4 linked regions of the Arabidopsis thaliana genome follow. Each later gene encodes a partner of the first gene's protein in a complex. Each region holds a gene or a part of one and is shown on either strand. Other genes may lie near its edges. The genes, in order: AT1G15770, AT5G19480, AT3G09180 and AT5G02850.

What was found.
Region 2: AT1G15770 (region 1) and AT5G19480 share a complex: the UniProt entries of both Arabidopsis thaliana proteins name them as parts of the mediator complex.
Region 3: AT1G15770 (region 1) and AT3G09180 share a complex: the UniProt entries of both Arabidopsis thaliana proteins name them as parts of the mediator complex.
Region 4: AT1G15770 (region 1) and AT5G02850 share a complex: the UniProt entries of both Arabidopsis thaliana proteins name them as parts of the mediator complex.

What each region holds. Positions count from the first base shown.
Region 1 is NC_003070.9:5,426,182-5,429,950, reverse strand, and holds AT1G15770 (mediator of RNA polymerase II transcription subunit), read left to right. Parts: upstream 1-1,670; 5' UTR 1,671-1,735; coding exon 1,736-1,822; intron 1,823-2,145; coding exon 2,146-2,655; intron 2,656-2,774; coding exon 2,775-3,059; 3' UTR 3,060-3,243; downstream 3,244-3,769. Other genes in the region: AT1G15772 (mediator of RNA polymerase II transcription subunit), read left to right, coding at 719-766, 859-933, 1,017-1,250; AT1G15760 (Sterile alpha motif (SAM) domain-containing protein), read right to left, coding at 3,629-3,769. UniProt on the Arabidopsis thaliana protein: Component of the Mediator complex, a coactivator involved in the regulated transcription of nearly all RNA polymerase II-dependent genes.
Region 2 is NC_003076.8:6,569,579-6,574,129, reverse strand, and holds AT5G19480 (mediator of RNA polymerase II transcription subunit), read right to left. Parts: upstream 2,630-4,551; 5' UTR 2,303-2,629; coding exon 2,275-2,302; intron 2,187-2,274; coding exon 1,894-2,186; intron 1,746-1,893; coding exon 1,542-1,745; intron 1,433-1,541; coding exon 1,373-1,432; intron 1,240-1,372; coding exon 1,201-1,239; 3' UTR 507-1,200; downstream 1-506. Other genes in the region: AT5G19485 (transferases/nucleotidyltransferase), read left to right, coding at 1-64, 158-223; AT5G19473 (RPM1-interacting protein 4 (RIN4) family protein), read right to left, coding at 3,450-3,500, 4,356-4,551. UniProt on the Arabidopsis thaliana protein: Component of the Mediator complex, a coactivator involved in the regulated transcription of nearly all RNA polymerase II-dependent genes.
Region 3 is NC_003074.8:2,817,302-2,821,952, forward strand, and holds AT3G09180 (mediator of RNA polymerase II transcription subunit), read left to right. Parts: upstream 1-1,792; 5' UTR 1,793-1,976; coding exon 1,977-2,250; intron 2,251-2,344; coding exon 2,345-2,510; intron 2,511-2,682; coding exon 2,683-3,133; intron 3,134-3,223; coding exon 3,224-3,283; intron 3,284-3,366; coding exon 3,367-3,435; intron 3,436-3,528; coding exon 3,529-3,572; coding exon of another isoform or gene 3,573-3,591; exon of another isoform or gene 3,592-3,650; coding exon 3,651-3,795; 3' UTR 3,796-4,124; downstream 4,125-4,651. Other genes in the region: AT3G09190 (Concanavalin A-like lectin family protein), read right to left, coding at 4,349-4,651. UniProt on the Arabidopsis thaliana protein: Component of the Mediator complex, a coactivator involved in the regulated transcription of nearly all RNA polymerase II-dependent genes.
Region 4 is NC_003076.8:650,415-654,284, forward strand, and holds AT5G02850 (hydroxyproline-rich glycoprotein family protein), read left to right. Parts: upstream 1-1,633; 5' UTR 1,634-1,744; coding exon 1,745-3,025; 3' UTR 3,026-3,349; downstream 3,350-3,870. Other genes in the region: LCL1 (LHY/CCA1-like 1), read left to right, coding at 20-129, 447-506, 748-798; AT5G02860 (Pentatricopeptide repeat (PPR) superfamily protein), read left to right, coding at 3,688-3,870. UniProt on the Arabidopsis thaliana protein: Component of the Mediator complex, a coactivator involved in the regulated transcription of nearly all RNA polymerase II-dependent genes.

The sequences.
Region 1 (3,769 bases):
GATACAAGGAGTGATCAGTGTGGTGTGTAATTGTCTATACAAATTAGTACATGAACGAGATTTATTTAGTTAATGACTATAATTAACATTTTGGTCACACAAATAGCCGGAGATTTCACTGGTTTTTCTACAAGTCTCTTTACTCGATTTTTAGCCTTTACTGTGTGAAATAGAAAACTTAAAAAAACTCCAAAAAACTTATTATTTGCAGAAGAGACTTGGGCCTGATAAGTACTTATTATTGGGTCATTGGGCCTCGCTTAATAACCTGATATTGTAATGTTGTTGAAGCCTTTTAATCCTTGTATTTAGCTCTCTCTTGTTTGTTTCTCTATAAAATCAAAAGATGATTAAAACAAAAACAATCATCTCTAATTCTTCTCCTTAACCCTAATTGCTACGTTTCACTTATTAAAAGAAAGATTGAAACGTAAGAACGTTTGGAGAAAAACCAAATCCAAACGGACCGTTCTAAGTCTCGGAGATTCATCGCCAAAAGGTCCTTATTTTGAGTCACCTATCTCATTACGTGTCATAGTAAACCCATGGATTCGTCGATAGCAAAACCTTTTGCATAAGAAACTAGTTTTATGGATTGATGATACTTGTGTACCTCTAATTTTAGGTTTTTGTATTTTTTTTTACACAGTTTCTGATGATGAATGAATCTCGCTTTTTAATTATTTTTCTTGGCTAGCAACACTAGATAGTAGATACAATGGAAAATGAAAATGGAGATGATTGGCGGGAGGAGGTTTTCCAAAAGGTAACTCATAAGTCATAATCATCATAATAATAAAACTCCTTTCTTAAATCATCATCGGGATCATTCATTGTGGTGTGTAATTGTTTATACAGCTTAGATCCATGAGAGAGCGTTATCTACCACATGTGACTGATGTTTACCAGAGACTTGCAGACAAGTTGAACCATGTAAGATGTAGTTACTGTCAACTATTAACTCTCTGCCTTAAGTTGTATAGATGTAGTAATACTAGTTTGTTTGTTTTTTTCAGGAGGAATCGCTTCCGCAGCAACAAAGATCAAAGCACTTTGACAAGTTCCAAAGCATGAAGACAAACATAGAGCAATTGATCCAAGTCCTATCTCTTCGAAAGAGAAATATCATGCCGATATTAAAGGATTGTAGATGGGACTATTATGAGAAACGGATTATATATTTCTTAATTACGCTAAGAACCGGCTGGGAAGACAGTACAGCAAAGGCAGCTTCAAGATCAGTCTCATAATAATCAAGGAAATGCATTGTAGATATTTTGTCTCTCTCTCTTTTTATGTTGGTCTTCTCTCTTCTGATGTGTTTTGAACTCTCATCCTCAATGTTGTTGACTCCGGTGCTCTGTTTCTACCAGGCTCCTCCTATCAAGTTATGATCGAAAAATGAATAAAGACCCTTTTTTTTTTTGTAAATGTTAATTTCTCGGAGATTAGGTGTGTTTTTGGTGGGTGCTTTAGTGTTCCGTCAACTAGTAGGGTAGGGTTTGGTTTCTTATTGAATTCATGCAGAATTCTTTTACCCATCAACAGAGATTAAAGCAATTTGAGAGATTGAAGGCAATGTTGGAGCGAAGAATGATACAATTCCTATCTGTTTCAAAGAAGCAATGTCATGCCTTACTTGAAAGATTACTACGACAACCAGATTATTCCTTTGTTACTAGCAGGATCATCTCTCTGTTACTAGATGATATCACCATGATGAGTAATCGTATGTATGATTATATTGCTTTTCTTTGTAGATCAAATCCATCAAAGAGACCTCAATGAAATCTACCAGAGAGTAGCAGCCAAGTTGCAGCAAGTAAGTTACAGTTTTCATTCTTCCTAGGAAGTTAGTTTGCACGTGTACGTCCTCTGGAACAGTACTAAGTACTTTATGAAGAGTTTTACAAATTCAATGCAAGATCAGTTCATTGTTACAAATGAAAGTCCTACAACTTAGGATTCTTGTTACCCATTTAACAAAGTAAAAGGTTCGTCAGACTCTTATACTTACAGATAGTTCACTAGAAGTTAACCTTCTGACAGATATATTCCTTCCCAAACCTACAGAGGTTGTAAACTTTTAACGTTCATCTATATGTTTGTTTCTTTTCTACTGAATACGTTCCGTTTTCTCTCTAGGAGGATTCTCTTTCGCATCAGAAACAAAGATCAGATCAGTTTGAGAAATTGAAACGAGGCAAGACAGTGTTGGAGGGAATGCTACGTTTCCTATCTCTTTCAAAGAGCAATATCAAACCTGACTTGAAGGATAGTATGGATTATCGCAAGAACAACATTATGAATTTCTTAAATATGCAGAGTCTGAGGAAGACAGTACAGAAACTGCAGCTTACGAAATCTGAGATTCAGCCTATGCAGCAACCACTATCTCAGACAGTTCAAGATCAGTCTCATGATGACCAAACAACTCTGCAGATGCAATCAATGAGCATGCAGGGTGCTGGGTCAAGGGTACAACAGATCAGGCAAGGTGTACTTCAATCCCTTGAAATTGGCACTCCAGGGATCTCTGCCTCTCCTCTCCTTCCGGAGCTTACCAGTCCTGATGGAAATATTATAAATCCTTTGACAAGTACTTGTGGAAAATCGAGTGCTACTGAGCTGCCTATTGAACGCCTTATTAGAGCCGTAAGTAACGTTACTAATTTTGAAGGGTATATTGCAACAGGGCAGTGTCATTGCTGCCATCCCTCATTTGCCGTGGAAACATTGTTCTGATCTTGATGTTTGCTTTCTGTTGTTTTCAGATGAAATCCATCTCACCACAAGCGCTTTCGTCTGCAGTATGTGATATTAGATCTGTTGTAAGCATGGTTGATAGGATTGCTGGTTCAGTACCAGGCAAAGGTTCAAGAGCTTCATTTGGTGTGGACTTGGTTGCAATGACTAAGTGCCATCTCCAAGAAAGAAACTTCATGACGCAAGATGGCGACCATGAAAAGGAAGCGTCAGACAACCCCAATGCCATCAAGTGTTGCTTCATTGGGAGGAAAGCGTTGGTAATAGCTACAAGCATTTTGCTGGTTTGGTAACATCAGATATGGAATCTACTGTGACTTGTGGTGGCAAGAAGCCAAGAACTGAGGTATGGTTTTCAGTTACACTTCCCTTAGGTATATCTGAAAATTGACACACACACAACAGATAAAATTTGGAAGCACAATGTTTTGTGTGCTCTAGTGTAGACTGTGTAGTGTCCTGAGCTCAAGATCTTTCCGATTACCTCAAGAGTAAGATCACTCCGGCAGGCTTAGCGTCATGGTTATGTGTGTAAACAGAGCATTTTTTGAGAAAAGAGTAAAAAGTGATAAAAGCTGTAAAGAAGTTTTGACTGGAACAGAGACTTAGGCCAAAAGCAAAGACTGGAGAGACAGACTCATTACAATGACCCCACACACTCACATACACACCTGACACCACCACTCAACTCTATTTTCCAATTGTTAACTAACAAAAATTAACTAGCCTAATCACATACAAAGACAAAATCAAGAAAACATGGTGGAAGAACCCTAAAACCTCATCTCTCACCATCAATTCTGATATAAAGAACGAAGAAGAAGCTGAAAGAGAAAACATAAAACAGAACTTAGAGATTTTTCTAAGTAGGTTTGAGATTCTGAAACATTGAATCCCATTTGATATCTTCAAAATAAGTATCTTGAGCGTAAAGTTTCTCATCCTTGAAACTGTAATCGAAAACCATGGGACTTGAGAAGCTATCGATTCTACAAGGAGTCCC
Region 2 (4,551 bases), on another chromosome or scaffold:
ACAAGGCTCAGTCATTTGCAGCAACGCACAGCTTCAAGAGCGTGTTACTCTAAGAGACTGCCAAGTACGTTACCCCCTTCAGTTTTCATAATACAGTGTCCCCTACGTATCAATGCTTTTACAGATTCCATAATCAAAACATCAATTGGTTTTATAGGTGGAAGCAGGGTATGTTGTTTGTGCCGGGAGTGAGCACAAAGGAGAGACCTTTGCTAGAAAATGAAAAGGAAGGATAAGCAAATGAGGTCACATCTTGGAACGCTTTTTTAAAATGAAAAGCAGCATTACTTAGTCATTCGTTTGGTAGGAGAGAAGAGTGTGAAGGATTGGAAAGTTTCCCACTAAGGGTTTTGTTGATTAAGAGTTTGAGATTTTCCGTTAGTATCTTTTACTGATAGAGTTTGATCTTTTGCTATTCATTACATATACATGAAGTCTTGAAACACTTTGTCAGCCACTGACCCTTCTCTCTGTTCCGTTGGTTATATTACATATGTCTTTTTTTGTTCTTCTCATTATTTACTCTTTTGTTCGAGATAAAACACTTTCCTGAAAGATCTAAATTTTGTTTTTGGTATTTCCATAGAGACGAATACACCCAAAAAGTCACATGCCTTCAGATTCGATAAATTTCAGAGTAAATGATTTCGAATGTATGAAACCTTTCTGTTTAAATAGTCACGAGAATAGATAAACTTCATAGCTTGTTTAAAGTGTAACAAAATGTACAAGTTGTGATTCTTCTTGGCGAACTTTTCGTTGCTTAACCCCTCCTAACTTCTCCCACAATGCAATTTTTATTTAGAGATTAAACCTGCAAAACCAAATCCAAATCATTTTATGTTATGTTGAGACAAATCTACACCATATAGAAACATTTCTAATTATTTGAGACTCCAAAATAAAGTTAGTGCACTCTCGGTCGCTAGAGTTCCAGGTTATCTTCTTATAAGCCTTAGACAATAATTATTTCTTCATGTTTAAAACAACCATAGCTTTGTTGACTCAATCATATTCATCATGTACAGTACCGTTGGTTATGACAGACGCAGCCCCATATGAGAAACGTGCGTTATCTAAAGATGAGAAGATGACTCTAGTGACCGAGTTACCTAACAAAGTTAGCTGCTTCTAAGCCTCTCCATGACACCTTGGGTGTGCAATACAAAAATGAAAGTGTGCACGGCTTCAGCCTCCAACCTACATCGCTCCCATCTCATCAAGCTTTGAGCTCTTATGCTGCAAAAAAGTTAATTTTAGGGCCGACAAAAATAAAATTTGCAGAGCAACACCAATGTGCGAGTAACCAGAAACTTCTAAATTCAGCTTCACTAAAAAGAAGGAGATGCCTCCATTGCCATTAGTATATTACCTTACTCTTTTTGTGCCTCTGAACGTCATCAGCATCTTCAGTCCCATTGTTCTTCCTTTTCTGAAAGTAAAGTGATAGCGTATACCACGTCAATTCTATCGAATTTAAGAATCCAAAATATACATATATAGACGGCCTAGGTACCAACAAGAGCAGACAGTTTTATAACCTTATCATGGTGTCCACTTTTTTCCTTCTTTTTGTCTCGATCCTTGTCTTTATCCTTATCTTTGATCCTATCTTTATGCTTGTGCTTGTGCTTCTTATGTTCCCTATCTTTCTCCTTCTTGTCTTTATGTTTTCTATGTTTCCTATCCTTATCTTTTGACTCACTTTTTGATTTTGATACAGTGGTAGGAGCTCCCTTCTCTGCCTGAAATAAGAACAGGAGATCTCATATTCTCAAACCTAGCTCAACTATCATCACAAGATACTTGGAAGTAATTCAACTTATCATGGTTAGTAAAAGATCTAGATGTTACAGGAAGTTAAAATCTAAACAGAGAGAGCAATATTCTTACTGGAGGCAATTCAACAGGAGCTGTATCATTAAGCTCAAAAGCCTCCTTAAGTTCATCAAGAACAAAAGGTTGGATGCGAGCATTCGTATCTCGGCTACTAAGTGATGCATTAGGAATAAGCTGATCTAATTGCATTCCTTCTCCTTTTCTAATCTCTGTGTCTCCAACCAAATTATGAAGATAATGAGCATCTGACAGTGACTCTGGAAGTGATCTCTTGCAAAAGAATTCATGGTGTGGCAACAACTTGTATTGTGTTATAAGATCTAGTGCACCACCCAATTCTCTAGGACCTGCACTTAGAAACCCAGAAGCTCATTGACCCTCAAATCCCAAAATAATAAAACTTGACAAAAATCAAAGCTTGGAAACCAAATTTACCTCCAAACTTAACGCTCTCTGATTCCATATTTTTTTGTTGTTGTTGATTAAACTGCAATTATTGGAATTTGAAAACCAAACAAGCCAAAGCTCAATAAGCTCAAGATTTGACGAAAAGCGAAAACAAAGCTGAAGCAAAGATCAATCACCGCCATACATGACTTCACGAGGCAGATCTCATCGCAACCCAGAGATATAAACCCTAATCTGGAAAACGGATTGCTCTTGGTCGTGAATTTCCCGCGGGAATATCGAGGAACGTTCGAGAAGGAAGTAACTAGGGTTTGAGAATGGATTAGGAGTTTCCTCAAACAATGGCGTTATAAAATCGCGATTTCTTTTTCTTCTTCTTCTGTTTTTTTTTCGTCCAAAATTTTGTTATTTATACGGGTTACCGCGTGGGGTTCACGCGCTTCATAGTGCGTATGATCAACTTTACAGATTTCACAACGACTTTTTTTACATTTGTATTTTTATTTTAATAAAAATTTCAATTTTCTTATAATTTGCATTTTTAATCACATAGTTAAAAAAAAAAAAAAATGCTAATATAGCCGTCAAATAATTTTTGTTGCAATCGTCAATAGCCACCGATTAAGACGGTGGTCAACTTGTTAGTGGATATGGCCACGATTAGGTGGTGGCACTCAGTTGCAAGATAGCCACTGTTTTTCATATGGTCATATGTATGTGTATTTGTGGCCAAATAATTAAGACCAATTTGCTAAGGCCAAAAAGTGATTCGTTTAGTCATTGCTATTGTTCGGATCCTTTATATTGAAGTTGGAGAATGATTAACCAAAGCTAAAATCACCCAAATGGCCAAATCGTACCAGCAATCAATGCATGATTTCTTAACTCTTGTTTCTAAAACTATGATCATCCGACAATTCTCAATTTATCGAAGATTAGTTAAATGGATTCTGCATCTGACGGTTTGGTTAAGTCATGTTTTATTTTGTTCTCGTATGATGTAGGAAGAAGTCAAAATGTATCACAACACAACACAACCAGGGGTATCTTAATAGATGATGCACATAGAACAGAACGTTTTTTTTTTTTGTGTGTGATAAAGAAGATTACAGAAACGTTACACTACTGTCTTTACACACTTGAGACATATTTGCTATATCGCTGAAGAGAGAAAGATTCCGACTTTGTAGAAGAACAAAGCCCTAGTTTGGCCTTATACAACAATTAATGTAGGTCAAGATCCTCTTCTTCTTCTGCATGGTAATTAAATTAGTAATGTTAGAGAGACTTATGACGGTGACAACATGCTTCCTCTTAATACATTTCACATATTGCATAATGCTTCGTATAACAAGGTGATTTCGACTGTTATACAAACTAGAGATGGAGTTTTCATATTCGCTCTAGAAAAGCAGTGTACATTTCGTTCATGTTTGCCTCTTCAAAGTTTGGAGGCTCCAAGCAAAACAAATTTATGTAACTCCCAACATATAGTTAAAACATAATGCAAAGATTATAATATGATTCAGACTTTTAGTTGGTTTAATTATATTTTTATCTAACAATAGAAGTAATGAAATTTAGCTTAGGTGGGAATATAATGTTAAAATATGGTTGCTTATTGAAATGTTATGGAAAAAATGCAAAAAAAAAAACAAAGTTTTCCTAACAAATAAAAAGAAAGTAGAAAATGGGAAAATGGAAACGAACTATAAATTCATTGTTCGAACAAAACACATCATTTCAAAACCATGGAAACAAACTGCAAGCCAATACACTATAACATCAAATTTAAAGATACACTATCATTACATATTCATAAATGAGACCTGATACTATGATGCATGTATTAACTCATAATTAAGTTGAATAACATTCATGGTTCAATTATGTCTCTGAGTTAAGAAAGAAATGGAATGAAATATTCTTTTTAGGCGCATGCAAAAACACAAAACAAACAAAAGACGCAAAGAGAAAATCAATTCCTGAATTGTTATACCACCTTGTGATGATCCATGCGCGTTGACTAAGGGGAAAAGGATCATCACAAGGTGAATATGAACCAAAGAATCCATGGAAGAGTAAGTAGAGAGAGATAATTTAATTACCATGACAGGGTCATCGTCTTGAGTTTCATGGCGATGGTGAAGTTGTTGGTGGTTGCGACGAACACTTACCATGAGTTCTTGTTCGCTTCCCAAACTAGAATGTCTTACACCAGCTTTGTTCTGCTTCCTGTTTGCGCGAGCTTTAGAAAAGACAACCGAGTAGTTTGTAGCATCATTTGGTCCTTTTTGGTCCCAC
Region 3 (4,651 bases), on another chromosome or scaffold:
CCCCATAGATAGCTTCCCAACAATCCATTGTGAAGTAGGCTTTCTCTCTTTCCCAAATAATGCCTTGTAGAACCTCGTAGGATTCTGAACCGCTTTCATTTTCCCTCTTGTCCTTGCATCCTTTTTGTTGAATCCAGATTTGCTGCAGTTAAGCCCGGTAACAAGTGCAAAATCATCAATGGCAAATCGAATTGGCTTCCCTGCAAACACCCACCACATTTCATACTTCTTATCTGTCACCAACTGCCTAGATAGAATGTAATGTAAGAACATTACAGAAAACTGATGCGTCCCCATTTGCAACAGAAATCCAAACTGCGAACCCTCCAGCTGCTTCAAATGGTTTTGATCTAGAGCAGCCTTGATGATCTCAATCCACCTAAGAGTAAAGTAATTGTTTATCCTCTTTCGGCCCTCAGGTTCAGAACCTAGCCGAAACAAACGCTTTGGCAACTCTACATCCCCCATGGAACAGATACACTGAAATACAAATGTCCACGTATCACTTTTTTGATGCTGCTACTTACACAAATACAAAATATATAAATCTTAGATGTAAATATATGTTATTAACAGACTCAACCAATATAGCCTCAGCTTTCCGTTACTATCAACAACAACAAATGGATTACATAGAAGTTGAGTTAAATATTAAACCTTCATAACACCAATTAGTGGAATATCGGATTAACCAGCAAAGATTCACTAACTAAAGCTACTCAAATCCGAGTTTATGCTATTCAATACTGCAAATAAAACTAAAAATGTCATTAACACATACAACCAATTTGAGTAGCTTCCGTTACTATCAACAAACACAAATGGATTACATTGAAGTAGAGTTAAATCCTAAACCTTCATAACAATTACAAATGAATATCGTATTAACCAAGCAGATTCCCTACCTAAAGCTACTCAAATCCGAGTTTATGCTATTCAAGCTCTTCAACACAAATTAAAAAGATTTTCCCAAAAGCCAAAAAATGGCATTTCATACCTTAATTTGGCTGAATCCCTTCGCCGACACCAATTGCCACAGAAATTCGAGTGTTACAGTGGAGACGACGGAGATATAAACACCTCTACTCCCGTACAACAAAACTCACTCAAGTACTCTCAACGGAATCAAAAACCCTCGATTGAGAAAAGAGCCAACATAAGTGTTGTACGAAACTCGGATGCTTAGATAGGCTCCTCCTCCAATTGCAGAAGATTTATGCAGTCCGATTGCCAGAAATCGAAGCCTCCACAGTCCCCAAATCGAAACCCACAAATTCAATCTTCGTAAACTCTAGAATCGTCACTCGGATTGCACACGCAGTCTGCTCTTCGAAACTTTCCCGGGTGTCGCTTTTTAAAGCCCAGAATTTTCAGATTTTCTTACTGTAACTTCTCTGAATGTTCACCTCTATTTGAATTTTTACAGAGTAATACATAGAAGTTATCGATTGAAAACTCAGAAGAAGAAGAATAAGCGCGTGTGCTCACGCACGGGTTAAGTTTGTCAATATTGCATAAAGTTCAATACATATTGGTTGAAGTGTTAGTTTTGCAATTATAATTTTTTTGTTGGCTATATTTGCAAATTTCCCATTTTTTTACATGTACAAACTAAAAAAAAAAAAATATTAAAGTGAACAAACTGTACATATGGGCTAAAAACTAAAAGTCCCACAAACATTGAGATTACAAAATACATTTTCAGTCCAACATGAGCCATAAAGCATTGCTTAATGGAGTAAAACTCAATTTAACAGAGTGGAATAAATTAAACAAAATAAGACGTGAAGGAGCAGAAGCAAGCATATCAACAAAAACGCCTTTGAAACGCAAACGCTACAAAATTGCGTCTGGCGTTACAGTAGATTGAGATTTGAACGTGAAATTCTCCGAGTCCAGAAACATTCCTCTCCTTCCGTCGTCGTCAAGAAGATCAATTTCATTGAAATCGAAAGAGTGTGCTTGAATCACAGCTTATGCAGACGCTACACCAGTCCCAACTTCTCCAGAATCCGGCCGAGGCGGCGAACAATCAGTCTGAATCGGACGCGCCGCCGAAACAGGTGGCTCAGGCCATGGAACGACTCAATCAAGCGGCTAGGGTTATCGCCGATATCCGCCTCGGCGCTGACCGTATCCTTGAAGCTATGTTCGTGGCTTCGCAACCTCGTCACACAGACATGCCTCTTCAGCTCTTTCTCAGAGAAGACGCCTCCATGCGTCAACATCTTCAGGATCTTCGCTTAATAGGTGCTGAACCAAAACTGAATCATTTTCATTAGTATTGATTGATTCTCTAGATTAGGGCTTTTAAGGATCGATCAATGTTTATTGCTTGGTTCAGGGAAGAAATTGGAAGAATCTGGAGTGTTAACTGAATCACTTAGGTCAAGAAGTAACTCTTGGGGTCTTCACATGCCTTTGGTTTGTCCAGATGGTGCAGTCGTTGCTTATGCTTGGAAAAGACAGCTTGCTGGCCAAGCTGGTGCTTCTGCTGTTGATAGAACCAGGTATCAGATTCGTTGCTAATCATTTTAAAGCATACTTAGGGTTTAGGTTCGAGTCTGCATATTAGGGCTGTTAGTGAAGCTTGGTGGTACCAACTTGGAGTTTCATCAGCTAACCAATTCTACTGAATCTCATGCATTCTCCATTTTCTCGCGTTGTGTATAATGACTGTAGGTTAGCTCTCAAGGCCTTCACGGATCAGAAAAGACGATTCTTCCCTCATATTGATGATGGATTAAAGATGGAACCAAGCTCAAAAAAACATCGTGCCTCCCATTTGCTATTAGAAAATGGAAGAGAGGAGCCGGTTGATTACAAAACATTGCCAGATATACAATCGCGTTTAGAGAAGCTGGTTCCGAGTGTGAAGGTGTCTACTTATGGACGATTGAACTGGCTTAAAAGAGCTAACTCTTTACCTGGGTCAGGTAGTGATGATCCTACAGAAGCATCGAAACCTATTTTCCAGAGTTCTAGCAAGCTGAGATCAGGGTTACAGACTGAAGTTGTCGACAAGATTGCTGTTATTGAGTTATCATTTCCTTCTCTATTCAGAGCTATAGTCTCGTTGAGTCCAGCGGGTTCTGTTGATCCAGATGCAGTTGCTTTCTTCTCCCCAGATGAGGTCACTTCCAACCTCCTTGCATTAAAATATACTGATTCTCATGTGAAATTGTTTAAGTTCTCATGTTTTAGCTTCATCCCTTTCTTACAGGGAGGCAGCTACTTACATGCGAGAGGCTTCTCGGTTTATCATGTTTACAAACACATAACGGTAATAAAGATGCGATTGATATTATATATAGTTTAACAAATTTGATTCATTGGGGACTTGCATTAATTAGATTTTTCTTGCAGGAACATGCTGCTACAGCCTTGCAATATTTCCTCGGCTTTGGTACTGGAACAGCTCTCTACTCTCTTCTGGTAAAGCATTTTACAAGCACACTTCAGTCTCTGGATAACATGAACCTTTTTTGTCTGGAAGTTAATTAACACCTTTCTCTTCTTCTTATGCAGCTATGGATATGCAGTTTTGAATCCGTATTTAGCAAACCTTGCACGTATGCAGACTCTCCGTAATTCTTCTAATACATTTGTTTCCCGTGGACTAACTTTTCATTTCTCTTCTGATGATGCAGTAAATGTGGAAGGCTATTAGCAATGGATAAAAAGTCTGCGTTAATCTTACCTCCTTTACACCGCGCTTACCAAGAATTGCCTCTTGCATTAAACCTGGACGTTTGTGAAGCTTACCACTCCAGTTGCTCTCAAGATGATACCTAGTACTCTAGTGATTAGGGAGGATCAATTAAAAGAAAGGTTAGAAATAAGTTCTAATAACATTTTGTATGGATCTTTAGTATCTGCTCTTCTCCTTGATATACCTCTTGTTTGTTGTTGATGTCCCATGTTGAGGTTTAGATTAACTTTCTTTCTTTCTACTCTCTGGTAACATGTGAATGTTGTCTTCTTTCTAGAGATTTGATCTTTGTTCACGAGATGACTGAACAGAGACCTTTTTTTTTAACTCGGTTCACATTACTCTGTTGCAGTCAGCATCAAAGTGAGAAAAAGACAGTGGGTGTTGATTTTTGCTTCCGATCCAGAAATATAAAACATGTTAAATGCAAGATCAATAAATTAAGTTATTTTGCAAGATCAAATAAGCTTACGGCTTCTTTCATAGAGATTGTACATGTGAAACCTGCAACTAACGAAGCAAATAAAAGAAAACACTAAATAAAGATAACACCAGAGGAAGTGGAAGAAGGTACTACATTTACACTACAACAAGACAACCTTCTTAAACCAAAGCCAAAGCCAAACAAACTTCTCATTACTTCTTGCCATCTTTAACTGCAACGACCACAATGCTCACTGCACATTCCTCTGGAACCACGGCCATTGACCGCCTAACACTGCAAATAGTCCAAAGATACATAGCTGACATTGCCCCTACGGCTCCACATACTGCAGCCAAGACCAGAGCACCAAGCATTCTCCATATACACTCACTATTTTCTCGGCCCTCTTCCATTTCCGTGGAAACGTCCGGCTTCAAACCTTCATTTGGTCCTAATGGCGCTGGTTGCACCCATATCGGATCAAGATGCCATATTTCAAAGCTCCATGAATGGAG
Region 4 (3,870 bases), on another chromosome or scaffold:
TGTAATGGTTGCTTTGCAGGTCTTCCTGATTTTGCTGAGGTTTATAACTTCATTGGGAGTGTGTTCGATCCTGACAGCAAAGGCCGCATGAAAAAGCTCAAGGAAATGGATCCTATAAATTTCGAAACTGTGAGTTGGAGCTTTACTTGCCTTTAGATTAACTGATATGTGTGTTGCAGCATATCAATCATTTAGTCTTCTTCTTTGAGTTCCCGAATAAATTCAGCTGTGTGAGAAGATAAATATAAAGATCAGTACTTGCAATATATAGATTCACGAGTTGGAAACACCAAAAAGCCAAAGTACCATGATTCTATGGAGATGTTGGTCAAATAATGGGATTGTTACAACCATGAGTCAGTTTTAGGTGTCATGGTACCTATTTGTAGCTGTCAGTGATTGTTCTTTTTCCTAGTATCCGTCACTAATCACAGTTTTTCTTGCAGGTTTTGCTGTTGATGAGAAACCTCACAGTGAACTTGTCAAACCCTGACTTTGAACCTACTGTAAGTTATAATTTTATCATTACTTCTGTGCTCGTTGAGTATGTGAGGCACATTTGTCTTTTCGTGATAAGAATGAGTGAGAAAAAGTCTCTAACAGCTAACAAACCTACTTACTATCTGCCTTGAAGTTTAACTATAGAAATTAAGACTAGTTCGCCTTTAGTGTGTTATGTTTTTAACCGTTCCAATGATTAAATGAGGATTGTTGTGCTCTATGAGATATAATCTAACCATAATTTAGTCTGAATATGTTGATGCTGCAGAGGAAGGTCATGAACACTTAAGCTCTTAGCTGTTTGTGCACTCAACAAGTTATATATCTTCTTGACGACTTCTTGCTCGCAACAACTCTCTACCAGCTATCAAGTAAGTTTGGTGTTATACCGCATCCCTCCGACACCAATATAAAACACTATAATAAGAACGTTCGCATTGACTTAATAGATTATATCGAAACCTAACACCACAGTTCACTAAGGTTTTCACCTTAATGTTTCTCATTTGTTACTGTAGTTATTGTCTCACATGATCGAACGTCATAATAAGAATGATCTGTAGATCATAACTGTTATATTCTCAGCGTTGCTGCTATTATTCTGATTACACTACCCTTAAGGTCTTAAGAATATTGCTCTTACGGTCTACCAAATTGCTATTGATCTCTGTATATGGTGGATTGTGTCAGATGCATTCTACGGTTGTTGTCTGAGGAGAACATAACTGAGTCGTCGTCACAAACAAGAGGAACATATGCAGTTTCGGTCAGAACCAGTCGTGTGAATGGTAGATATATGTATGTGTGTGTAGAAAATGGTTACCAATTGTATCTTCTTTTTGATAATTATTTTTTCATGCCTTTTGTAATATGTAAGTTTCTTTACCTCGTTCTCTGATTGGTTATTTTCTGGTTATCTGTTTAACCAAAAGCTATGTAACACAGTAGCAAATTGTTACTTAACTCGGAAGTGAGATACATAACTCTGTTGTATTGCACTTGTATCAAGCGTTAACGTCCATGATTCGTCTCTGTTATTGTCAATAACAATTGTTCGAAAGCCAGGTTAATGGTAATTAGGAAATTGAACCGTATCGGTATGGTTTTAGCGGGTCTTTAGACTTTTCTAATTGATACTGAGGGTTTGCGAATTTTGTATAAACAGTTGAACACTAAACAGAGAAGAGAAGCTTCGTCTCTTTAATTATCTTCGATTTAAGAGATTCTTTCGCCGTCGGCGAAGATGCTACAGCATCAGATCGTACAATCTCCGGCGAGATTAGGGTTAACAGGTCCTGGCTCTCCTTCCGTACAAAATCCGACGCCTACTCGTCATGGCCATCCAACCTCTTCTTCATCTTCCCAATCTCAGCACCAACAGATCCAACAACAGCCTAATCTACTTCCTTCCTCCACCGTCGCCGCCGCTTCCTCAGCCTCAGCTTCGGCGGCTGTTTCATCCTCCGCCTTGCTATCGCTCCTTCCTCCATTACCGCGAGCTCAAGCTCTTCTCCAGCAGATGGCGGTTTTGACATCTAAGCTCTTCGACGTCTCTCCCAATCGAGCTATCTGGCTCTCAGCTTTCCGTGGCTCTCTCCCTTCGTTCCTCTCCTCACACTCGTTACCACCTCCGCCGCCGCTTGAAAACCCTAGTCCTTCATCCACGAAGGAGATCCTCTCTCAATTCAATTCCCTCCAGACTCAGCTCTTCGAAGCCGTTACAGAGCTTCAAGAGATCCTCGATCTGCAAGACGCGAAGCAGAAGGTGGCGCGTGAGATCAAATCCAAAGATTCATCTCTTCTCGCTTTCGCTAACAAACTCAAGGATGCAGAACGTGTTCTCGATATGCTTGTTGACGACTACTCCGATTACCGCAAACCAAAACGAAGCAAAATTGAAGAAGATGACGAAGACAATGATAATGAGTCTTCTTCTTCTTCAACCACAGTTTCGTCTCAGCTCAAGTTAAAGGACATATTAGCTTACGCTCACAAGATTAGCTACACCACATTTGCTCCGCCGGAATTCGGTGCAGGGCAAGCACCTCTCCGTGGTGCATTACCACCAGCTCCACAAGACGAACAAATGAGAGCTTCCCAGCTCTACACTTTCGCTGATCTTGATATCGGTCTGCCGAAAACAGTAGAAAACATGGAGAAGAAGGTTGAAGCACTGATTGAGCCACCACCACCACCAGAAGCTATGGATATATCTGCTATTCACAACCTGCTTCCGCCGAATATCGCAGTTCCTTCAGGATGGAAACCAGGAATGCCAGTCGAATTGCCTAGAGATTTACCATTGCCACCTCCTGGATGGAAACCAGGCGACCCAGTTGTGTTACCGCCACTGGAGTCAATTGCTGCACCTAGAGCAGAGGATCATCAACATATGAGACCTTCTCAGGGACTCCACAGACCGCCTGATGTCATACAGGTCCGAGCTGTTCAACTTGACATTTTGGAGGATGATGATAGCAGTGATTACAGCAGCGATGATGCAAGCTCAGATGATGAGGATTAATCAACATTGTGATTGATGGTTCTCTGTAAGGTAATGATTTGACCAATGTTACTGCTAATTCTTGATCAAGTTTGATTTTCTACTTGGTTTCGTTTTGTTTAGCAGTGCCTTTATGTGGATAGATGTTAGTATATGCTTCATCGTTATCAGTATCTTTGATGTATCAAAGTTGTTTCTTACGAAAACCCTGGATTCTAATTCAGTTTACAGAATTATTGGTTATCTTTTTTCCAGAATCATTCTTTAGCTTCAAATTTCAAATTATTAGTAAAATTCAGAATGTTCAACTATTGGAGTTATGCAACTTGACATTTTGGATCGATCTCTCTATACGACAAAGTAAAATCCCTCTTAGGTCATACATACATATCAGAGGCTCTTTCTGCCCATTTCTTTATTGTACAGTTTATTGTTCCATTTGGGCTTCTAATAATATAATGGGTTGACAAAATAAGTAGTAGCCCATTTAGATCTAACCTGTTGAATCTGGACTAGCCACGTGGTCGAATATAATTGTAGGGAAATAAAACTAAAATTGTGTTCTTGGAACAAAAAAATATAATAAAAAAAATCTGACAAAAATATCCATTCATTTCTCTTCTTCTTTCACTCTCGGTTGCCTCCTGGTTCTTTTCTAGTTTCTACTACTACTACTACCTCTAATGGCGGACAAGCTAGCTCTTCCTCTTCTCCTTCCCTGCACTCCTTCCTCTAAACCTTATTCTCACGACCAAAACCACCATATCTCTCGGACGCCTTTTCTTACTACGTCTCTTTCGTCACCACCTCCTCCGCCTGTAGAGCCTCTCCTCCACGATGTTTTCCTTCACCAGAACCCTAATTCC